3 linked regions of the Caenorhabditis elegans genome follow. The protein of the gene in region 2 purifies or fractionates together with the protein of the main gene of each other region. This does not show direct contact. Each region holds a gene or a part of one and is shown on either strand. Other genes may lie near its edges.

Region 1 (3,760 bases), on a different chromosome or scaffold from region 2:
ATTGGCCAAACTATTTTGTTTAGTTTCAACTTATTTTCTAGGAAGTCATCTTTAAAAAAATCTAACTTTTCGAATTTTACCGAAAGCATGAAAGCATGCAGGAAGGTTTGCAAATTGAAAAATGCAAGAAATTGAAGAAGACAATAGAAACATTGAGACGAGGAAAGGTGAGATCTATGAGTTTATAGGAGGTCCGTGAGCACAGAAAGGAGGAGCAGACAACTCGAGTGACCGGGACAATAGACTGACAAGCTCTGATAAATGACCACGACAGCCGATGAATCGAGAAATGACCAGCAGATATTAAGAGATAGAAGAATCTACGACGTTCCCTTCTGAGATAAAAGTGCATAAACACACACCTGACGTCGATGGGGCTAGATGTAAATTTAATAGAAACATAAGCCTCGAAAACAATGGTAAGCAATACACAGCAGTTAAAAAGAGTTGGACAATTGCATATCGCATAAAAATACAAAATATAAAGAGGTCAACCCCGATTATCCAATAGTACAGATTACGATACATGTAGAGTGGCTACTTTTGCCCACTTCCCCCAACCTCAACCCATTATTAACATTTGTCAACACTTTAAGCTTCCCGTTTTCGGTGCGTCTTAATCAAATAAACATCATGCATAAGGAACACATAATGTTAGTACAAAGGAAAACCTACAACGATCTTGATGTATTTTATCAACTTCCAAGCATAGTCTCTCCGGTGCGACAAATGTAGAATTTCCGTTGAAAGCGACTCGGTTCCTTCTAAAAATGAAATTAAATTATCAGAACTTATTGAAAGAGTTTTACTTTTTTGGAATCGGGCGAAGGGACCCTCCTAGTATTGGTGTAAGCCGTCCTTTCAGTTGATTATTCGTTGCAGATTTTGATGAACGGACACGGATACTCTGTAAATTTTAAACTAAAAAAAATGATTTAATCATTTTGATGCTTACGTCAATCCGGATACTGTCGTCATTGTTGGAAGATGATGAAGGACTGAGAGTTGAATCGTTGGAGCGGTATTCATGAGCTTTCTGAAATTTTCTCTTGAAGAACTCCATTATTTGTTCGAATTTCATTACGACGAGTAGATTGAAAACGAGAAATGATTCGTTTTTTATCGATTAAATCTACACGCCGACGTTTTAAATTACAACGTGCATACCTTACGTGCCTTCACGGAGAACAAAGGAGAATTTTCGTGATTGAAAGGTTCAAAAATTGCACTTCTTGGAATGTGTTCAACTACAGGAATAGGCGTTTCTGTTAAGTTATCCTCGGTTTCTTCTGGAATAGGAGAAGGCGTTATTAAGTTAACGCTTCGACGACGACCAGTGTCACCTTAAATGGAACATTAAAAATGAACGATTAGCTCCAACTTACTGAGAACATCGTCATCTTCTTTCACTTCTCGTGTACCAAAATCAATCGGTGTAGCTCGATTTTGAGATGCAGCGGCTTCAAATGAGACGTCGGAGAGGGGAAGTGAAATAAACTGTGAAGTGTTCAGATGAGCTTCTTCCTGAAAAATAATATTTTAAATGAGAAAATAATTGGCATTATAACCGGAATAGCAACACTCTGATTTAGAGATTCGTCTGCAGCGCCTTCAGAGGAAGATCCCGGTGAATTTTGAGGAGATCTGTTCGAACATTCTGCGGTTCCAGCAGTTATTGCAAGCTTATTTTTATCTTTTTTGTGCATGCAAGTCAAAGCCAATAGTTGTTTGAGCATTCTGAAAATATAGAAACTTGTTAAACATATTAGTTGCGGAACGTAAAAAGAAAAACACGATTTTGTTAAGAACGAGAAACGATTTTTTTTGAAACTAAAAAAATAATGCAAGCGCGCTCTAACGGACACGTCAATTGCGCGGGGCAGTAAATTTTAAAGTGAGACAAGACAAAGACGAGCAACAAGTTTTCGGAGATAAAATGAGTTTTCTTTTTTATTTTCTGTTTTACAAAGTTTGTATTTTATAAAAAATCAGTGCCGTACGAAACGAAAAAGATAATGCAAAAGAAAAACAACGTTTATATTCAAATATGTTGAAGAGCGGCATTTACGTGGCGAGACCAAACGCCCGACTACGGTAGCTGTAATATTTACGGAGAAAAAATAATCATGTTTTGGAAAAAAAACACTTTTAATATTACAAAAGAACCACGAATTCATTCTTTATAAAATTCAAATCTGTCTGGAAGTTGTTACAAATGCGCCACGAAGATGCCAATGAGCTATTGGAAATTGTGAATGAAATGGTATTTGAGTCACTGCGTTCTGTGAAAATGGACAAATAACTGGCAAGCTTCTTGGGTTCCCTGCTCCGGTTCTTTTTGTGGTCTTCAGAAGTACAGTTGTATATTGGGCTTGACGATTTTGAGGTTCCTGAAAATTAAATTAATTGCTCTAGTCTTGTTTAAGTAGTTCTATGTACTCGAATTTCTCCATTCACAAAATGAGCTGAAATCAGAACGCAATGCGACATTTTCAGCAAAGGAACGTCGGAATCTGATCCTAGTTTGGGAAGATCATAGTGTTCATTCACAAATTCGCCGGTCACCATCACCTGGAAATATTAATGGATATTAGAAAATCTAAGCAGAAAATCGGCTCACTTCTGAAATTCCAATCTTATATTTCAAACAAAATTGCATTTTCAAAAAAGAAACAATTTCGGTGAGATTGTTTATTTTTCTTCCATCAACTTCTCGTTCGCCATTTTCCACATCTAATAGCCAACTTCTTGATCTTAAAATCTAAATTTTAAAGCGGAATTATTCATGTTACCAACTCAATCTTCTTAGCGATTTGCTGAGTTGCTCCAATATTCGGCTCAAAAAGTATTTTTATTTTTTGTGTTACTTTCTTGTACATCAGTTCACGACATTCTCTAGAGTTTCGAGCATTGAATCCACAAAGGATACTTTCTTCATGAGATTGCATGAAATGCGCGAAATCTTCCTGAAATAATTTTTATAAAATACTGATGTTTAGGGTATTTATTTCATGCCTATCCACATGCCTATAGGCATTGTAACTACCTATAGGTCTCGAGACTCAAAGGAACCGAAATTTTATTTTGTACTAAGTTATTGGGCTATATAGGCCACCAGTATGCACGTGTATCGTTCGTGCGGGTACGAGGCAGGCACAAACGTCTTCTTACAATTAGTTAGTCCTGCATCGTATACCGAAAACACTTTTTTGCGTGTAAGCCTTAGATAAAGGTTCTAAAAAAGTTTGAACTTACAAAGTTATGATTATCTTCTTTAATGATAGTTTTCAAAAGAGTATCTGCTGGAATTGATAAATTAGCTTCAACAATCCATTGAATCATCGCGCTGATTATATTCTTTTGAACCTGGCATCTTGTTTTTGGGAAGTATATTGGTTCAATAACGTTTACTTTAACTTTCATTAAATCTTGAAATTCATTCGGCTGATCACTCAAATTTCTCAATTCTTGATACAGCTTCATCATTGCCAATAGATCCGCATCATCAACTACTACATTGAATTCTGGATCATAAAGCCGTCGTAACTTTAACCCTCGATGAAATGAAATCAATCGTATTATTTGAATTCTTTGACTTTCTTCTGATTTGTCCAAAGAACTTCTCAATGATAAATTTGCAAGAATTCTACGAATCTGCTGTGCCAATGAAGTCGAACGGGAAAAATAAAAGCGGTGGGATGAGATTTCGATAAGCTGGAAAAAAGTAGATTCAGAAAAGTAAAGTTATTCTGGATTATAT
Region 2 (3,760 bases):
GAGAAGACAAGCCAAGTGAAAGGAAACCATTGAGAGCAAAAACAACAATCAATTGAAATAAAGAGTAAAGTTTATTGAATATACTGATATGTGAATACTGGAAAAATAATTAGTCTCTATAATTGGTACCGCCTGGAAGATTCATTTCTGATTCCCTTGTGTCTTTGACCAAAACTTTATTTTTTTCAGTTCAAAATTACAAAAAATAAATACTCATCTTCATCGATTCAGTGGTGTTTTAAACTCCTACGTTTTTCTTTTACAATAAAGGTAATGTAAACGTTCCGAGCGTGTAGTTTTCTCTGAAAATTTTTTAAAAATAACAACTTTATGGTATTTTTCTTAAAGTCTTAAACTGAAACCGAAACATTTTTGATAGGAAAACTATTTTAACATTTTGGGAACTCGGCAAAAGCTCTGCAGGCTTGCCGAACAACTCTCATTTGAAAGTAATAAATATGAAAATAAATTATCGAAGTTTTTTTTTTTGATATTTTATGAATACGGCTCTTGGTAGTTTTTGACGAGAAAATTACATGTTGCATAAATTTCAAGAGTTATAACTCATGGAGACCCTAATTTCTGGTTTCACTAGAAAATCAAAAAATCAAGCGTTTGAGCAGAAGACTGTAGGAAGAGCACACGTCATAAAAATTAGGGGATCAACGATCCGAAACGGGGAATTGAAATACGATATGCGATGAGTTTTGGTTCGAACCGGCTTTGTCCCAAAAAACAACAGAACGATGGTCTCAGGCTCACTTGACTCATCTCGGTGGGAACAATTTTTATTTGTTTTTATTCCGTACGCACAGAAACTTTTTTTGAGGTATTTTTGATCGTGGGTGGGTGGAATGGTAGCACCCAATTTCAAATAGTGTTTGATTTGAAGAGACAATGAAAGAAACAAGTGGGAGATAATGGAAATGACGTGATGAAATGGAACGGAGGAAAACTGGTATAAATATCGTTGACTATCAAAACTACAATAATACTAATGGAGAAAAGTTCAGGATTCTTGAAGATTTTACATTATGATAGTTGGGATTTACTGGTTTCAAGTTCAAATGTCAAACATCTGGAAGAAAAACGTATAAGATTACATCAAAATAAAACTAAAATTTGAAGGATAAAGTAAAACAGCATAATATAGTGTTTTACATCTCATGTAGGAAACGAACAAAATCTTTGAACACCTAGATAACTTCAAACGGAAGTTGGGTGAAGAAAAGAATAGGGGCCAGAATAGAAGGTCATTTTGACAAAGTGAACAGACAAAGACATTCCTAACTCGGAGGTATTCCAAAAACTGTTCCAATATTGAAGAATGACACTATTTGATTTTATATCATAACATTATTAATCACATGGCTTTTTTCTTAGGAAATTTATATCGCAAAATAAAAAGTGGCCTTGATGAGTCATTCATTCAAAACATGCCTAAAAACCTTCATAATTAATTATAAAAATGCTGATACTTGAGGACCCGTTTTTTTATATTTATAAACAGTTGTTTTCTTTATTCCGTTCTCACTTTGAGTTTTTTTCTGAAAATACTAAAAAAATTAACAAAGTTCGGCGTTTTTTGTCGATAATTCCATCTGATTATTTTCGGTTTTTTTACCTAATTATCAAATATTTTAGCCAGAGTGAAATTTATTATCTTATTAATATGTTTTTCAATTTGTTTTGGTATTATTCTGTTGAAGGAACATGTTGCATTTTAAATCTGTTGTTAATACAGCGGCCACATGTTTAGAACTTTATAACCTCGTTTAAACATAAATTGTATGCCATATTTATTGCAAGTACTACATGAGTTTGAAACAGTATCAGATACTATATTTTAAACAAAAATACACATTTTCCCCGCTATGAGAGATTCTGATACATTGGTTTCCAATTTTTTTAAAAACTTGAAATTCCTCAAGTCTCCCACTGAATTACAGATTTCTGTTCTAGATACCTCCAAAGACACCTAGATTCGACTTCGGCATCTTCCTCATTTTTATCTTCAGTTTCATCTTTTGTCTAATTTTCCGTACATTTCTTTGCATCCTTACCATCTCTCCCTCTCTCACTCACTCTTCTTGTTCACTAAATCTCAATTCAAAATGTTTTCTGCCACGTCATCATCATCATCAATGCCACCTTCTCAGAGCCCATTCGAAAAATTACCACGGCATCAAAATATTCGATATCACGAAAAATGCTTCTCAATTCCACTTCATACACTTAACTATTTTCTATGCGTTATTATTTTTTATTTCTTTGTTTTCACTATATTTTATCACGAACGTTATGGTGGAAAACCTGAAAATGTTCAAGTTACATCAGCAATTTATGATTCAAATTCAAACGAACTGTCATTAATCTTTCTATTTGATTCTTCAATTCGTCGACGGGAAATATTCCTTGGATTTGGTCCAAATGACTCAAAAACATCAAGAAATGAAACTCAAATTGAGCTTAAACCACCACCCGGATTTGTTGATAACTCACAAATTTCAGTAAGTTTAGGATTTTTTTTCAAAAAAACTTGATATGAAGTGTTGAAAAATTGATAATTGGGCCGGGCTTACATCAGAGTATCTAGTTATCTTGTATTTCAAATATTAATATTCAAACATTGTAGAGATTCGAAATGCGACAGTACTTCAGTAATTACCACCCACATTTTGACTGTCAAAAAAGTTCCCAAAAATTGTCGAAAACTTTTATTAGGATGTTTTCTCATTTTGGCACGATTGGAGTGTTTTTTTAACAAATCCCTTTTATGCATCAAATTAATATCTAATTTTTAAATCAATAATTTGGATTAATTCAACTTGTTTTATAAGATTTTCTCGCTATTAAATTAGCAAAAAAAAACTATCTTCAAACAATTAGCGTGCTTTAAAACTACTAGGCCTTTGTTGGCAACGTCTTTTCACATTTTGGCACAAAACTATAAACTATGCTCAGAATTTGGTAATGTTTGAAAATGTTTTGGGCAAGCATATAGTTATTCCAATTCTAAAGTAAGATTAGTCATCTATTTTCCATTCCATTTTTCCATTTTTCACCTATTTTTTCCATTATTTAACAACCAAGACTGAGCAAACATTTTCCTGTTTTAATTTTCATATATGAAAAGACATAAGCAAAAGCTGGATCAAAGCTTGGGCAAATCCTATTCAAAGTATTTTCCAACGTTTCCATTCCCTCGTTTGTAAAGTACAATTGGTAATCTTAAGGCTTAATTAATTATTGTGGGAGATTCATAATGTGAAAACTAAATGTTAAGATTTGGTCATCAATTGAAAAGGAAAAACCCCAGTCTTTAACTGTGAATGCAGAACATCCAAAGTCATTGCTTTTACGAGATCACACAGGACATCCATATTTAGAAGTAAGTTCAAATCAGAAATCCCCAATCCATTTTTTCTTGTAGTTACCACTTCAAGAACCATACTCCGATTTTCGCGACATTGTTAGTTGTTTCAGTCCAATTTATGGAGATTTTGAGATGGTTTTAACAGGTTTAACAAATTAATTTGGTTTCTTTTTTAAAACATTTAATTTTTATAGCTTTAACATCATCCATATCAATGGGATCATTTGTTAGTATACCATATGAAGAGCTTACTGGAGAGCTTTACAAGTTTCTACGTGTATTTGAAAAAACGGGACATGTCAGGTTAACTGCATTTCCAATGATACGTCATCAGCCTCGCTTCGATTCGGAAAATGAAAATTATCATTTGAAAATGATCAAACT
Region 3 (2,848 bases), on a different chromosome or scaffold from region 2:
AACCGAAATTTGTTAACAAGAGACAAAGATAAAGAGAGATGCATAGTGGGAGAGTTGATACGTAGAAATTTTTGCGCAAAAATTGACAAAGAAAAGATCAAGAGTAGTTCATGTCTACACACTTTTTCCTTGGTTTAATATTTTAAACTTTCAATCACTTTGTTTTAAAAATATTTAGAAACAGACTTGCACAATTTTGTAACAGGTGTTTCAAATAATTAACAAGATAACTACTTAATTAAAAAAAAACACGAAAGAATTTGAATTAGATTGAGAAATTTTAATGTGAAAGAGGAATAGCCGAACATTAAATAAAAGACTATATTATTATTAAAGACAATAACTTTTGCCTTCAAGTTGTTGAAAATTTCCCAGAAAGAATACTGTAACTTAACAAAGAAGACGTAGGTTTAGGACAGAAAAGTAATTTTCATAGCTCTCAAATAATTAACACATTTTTCCTTTTTAATTCCTAAAATCTTTTTAATGCTAAAAAATCTCCAACTTTTATGATCGGTTTGAATAAATGAGTCACAGTGTAAATCATCCGAAATCTACATCTTCATCATCGCCTACCATTCATTCATTTTCCAACAGTAAGATAGAAGAGATAGAGGAAAAAGATAGAAGATGATAGAAAAAATGGTAAAAGACAGAAAAAAAAAACGAAAAACTTGATTGAAAGAAGACGTCTTCTTGATTTCTTCAGACAGTCTCTTTCATTTCTAACACTCTCTTCATCACTTCCTATCTCTCTTTTTCTTCCTCTATTTTTTTCACTGATCTTATCGATTTCCTTCGCTAATTGTGGATAAATATTATTCTTTCCTGAATATCTAAGATTTTTCGATTCAGTTTTTCGTGAGAGCTAAAATTTTGAAACTTTTTAAAACTATCAGTTATACAGTTACTTTTTGAAGGAATTTGAAAATCAGAATACGGATTGAAAAAAGTTGTTTTTCAAATTCTTGAAACGTCTGAAAAATCTTATTTCGAGTTGATTTTAATTTATCTTGCTAAAAATCAAAAAACCGCACATAAAACACACTTCAAGTTGACTGATAATTCACTTTTCATAATTGTCACCTACAAATTCCTTTGACCCATTTAATAATCGTCTTTAAAATTTTTAATCAGTGCAATGACATCATTTTTTGTCATCTGAAAAGTTTAAGCAAAAAAATGAAGATGAAGTACTTCCACTGAAATTGAAATAAGCTAACTCCAGTATAATATAAATTTTATTCAGTTTTTTTATTTGAAGCTGAACAATTTTTCAATTATTTTTTCTCAGTTTTAATTTGCCTACTTCTGTGTATATTTTAAAAACCACATCACAAAATATGTTTTTTTTTTTCAGAAAAAAAACAGGACATCCTCCTGCTTCCCTCCACCCCCAACTCTCGTTTTTTCTCAATCTGATAACGTGAGAGAGAGAGGAGCCGAAAGGGAAAAAATGGTGATAAGACGTACTGTTGAAGCTTTATCGTCATCAACCCGTCATTTCTGAAAACGTATGCACCTTTTTTCCTATTTTCGACGTGCTTTGTGCGAATTAGCACGAAACATTCTTGAAATTTTCATATCAAAAACAAATATTTGATAACCTTGTAATTGACATGCCACACCTTTTTTCTGTTCATATAAAACTAAGGATTAGAGGGTACAAAATATAATTTTAAACTTCTTTTTTTTTCAAAATTAAAATGAGTGCGAGAACTACGCTCTATAGAGCACCTAATTATTATTCCACCAATATTATAGAGCACAAAACATATTCAATTTCTAAAAACACTGTCAATAAGGTAATAGTATTTTCCCACACAACATATTTATTCGTGGATTATGATAGAAATTGTTTAATTAAAAATCAATATTTCAGAGTAAAATGGCGGCTCCTGCAGAGTCACATGCTCGATTAGACGGTCGGTTTTGGTTAGAAGGAACACCGTATTTGGCAGAGGAAAATGTTGGAGCAGGTGCTTATGGTGTGGTTTGCAAAGCAATGGATACGGTATGTTCCTTTAAACTTTGAAAAACAATTAAAAACTTGTGAAAAATCAATTACAGAGAAATAAGAAACAAGTGGCAATCAAGAAAATCCCACGAGCCTTCACTGCACACACTTTGGCCAAACGATCATTGAGAGAAGTTCGAATTCTTCGTGAGCTGCTCCATGAGAACATCATCGCTGTGTTAGACATGTTCACTGCAGAGGGCGCTCATGGAAAGGACATTTATCTAGTTATGGATCTCATGGAAACTGATCTTCATCAGATTCTCCACTCAAGACAGACTCTCATGGAACAACATTTTCAATACTTTTTCTATCAATTACTTCGAGGATTGAAGGTAAATTTTTATGAATTAAAAACTGGAAATTAAGAAAAAAAAGCAAAACAGCCTCAGTAAATTGTGAACCATAATCCACACTATCCTTCAGAGTGGTGCATGGAAACTTTCCTCCTCGACTGCGAGCGGGTTGAACTAACGCACTCAATTCGTAGAGCGCGCACGCTAACCACTCGGCCACACATGTCAGAGAACCTGTGAGAAAAAAGGGTGTAGATGAAAAAGCGAGAGTATGAAGTGAAGAGATTGTGTAGCATAGCGCAGATGGCAGTTGCTGTGCAAAATAAAAGTTTACTTTCAGTACCTTCACTCTGCTGGAATTATTCATAGAGACTTAAAACCATCAAATCTACTTTTAAATGGAGATTGTCTACTGAGAATCGCCGATTTTGGCATGGCAAGAGCTTATGCTTCTGCGAGTACAGTAAGAGATGACGCTAATGTTGGAGGACATATGACAGTAAGCTAACTTCTTGAAATAATGACATTTCAATTA

Evidence for each region.
Region 1: the proteins of gtnt-44 (region 2) and noca-1 fractionate together in Caenorhabditis elegans (co-fractionation; one large-scale study listed by BioGRID). This does not show direct contact.
Region 3: the proteins of gtnt-44 (region 2) and C04G6.11 fractionate together in Caenorhabditis elegans (co-fractionation; one large-scale study listed by BioGRID). This does not show direct contact.

Annotation. Positions count from the first base shown.
Region 1 is NC_003283.11:13,150,896-13,154,655, reverse strand, and holds the start of noca-1 (Non-centrosomal microtubule array protein 1), read right to left. Parts: upstream 1,738-3,760; 5' UTR 1,737-1,737; coding exon 1,569-1,736; intron 1,525-1,568; coding exon 1,386-1,524; intron 1,344-1,385; coding exon 1,168-1,343; intron 1,037-1,167; coding exon 956-1,036; intron 908-955; coding exon 810-907; intron 765-809; coding exon 676-764; coding exon of another isoform or gene 632-675; intron 1-631. Other genes in the region: dhc-3 (Dynein Heavy Chain), read right to left, coding at 2,190-2,390, 2,440-2,571, 2,621-2,753, 2,797-2,966, 3,256-3,714. UniProt on the Caenorhabditis elegans protein: Plays a role in the assembly of microtubule arrays in the germline acting redundantly with ptrn-1 to control circumferential microtubule assembly along the body which is necessary for larval development, viability, and morphology and integrity of the epidermis.
Region 2 is NC_003282.8:9,962,190-9,965,949, forward strand, and holds the start of gtnt-44 (Glycosyltransferase family 92 protein), read left to right. Parts: upstream 1-2,055; 5' UTR 2,056-2,114; coding exon 2,115-2,510; intron 2,511-3,286; coding exon 3,287-3,391; intron 3,392-3,433; coding exon 3,434-3,521; intron 3,522-3,570; coding exon 3,571-3,760.
Region 3 is NC_003280.10:5,102,758-5,105,605, forward strand, and holds C04G6.11 (uncharacterized protein), read right to left. Parts: upstream 1,078-2,848; coding exon 1,033-1,077; intron 978-1,032; coding exon 912-977; intron 869-911; coding exon 584-868; downstream 1-583. Other genes in the region: mpk-2 (Mitogen-activated protein kinase), read left to right, coding at 1,707-1,805, 1,883-2,014, 2,071-2,352, 2,654-2,812.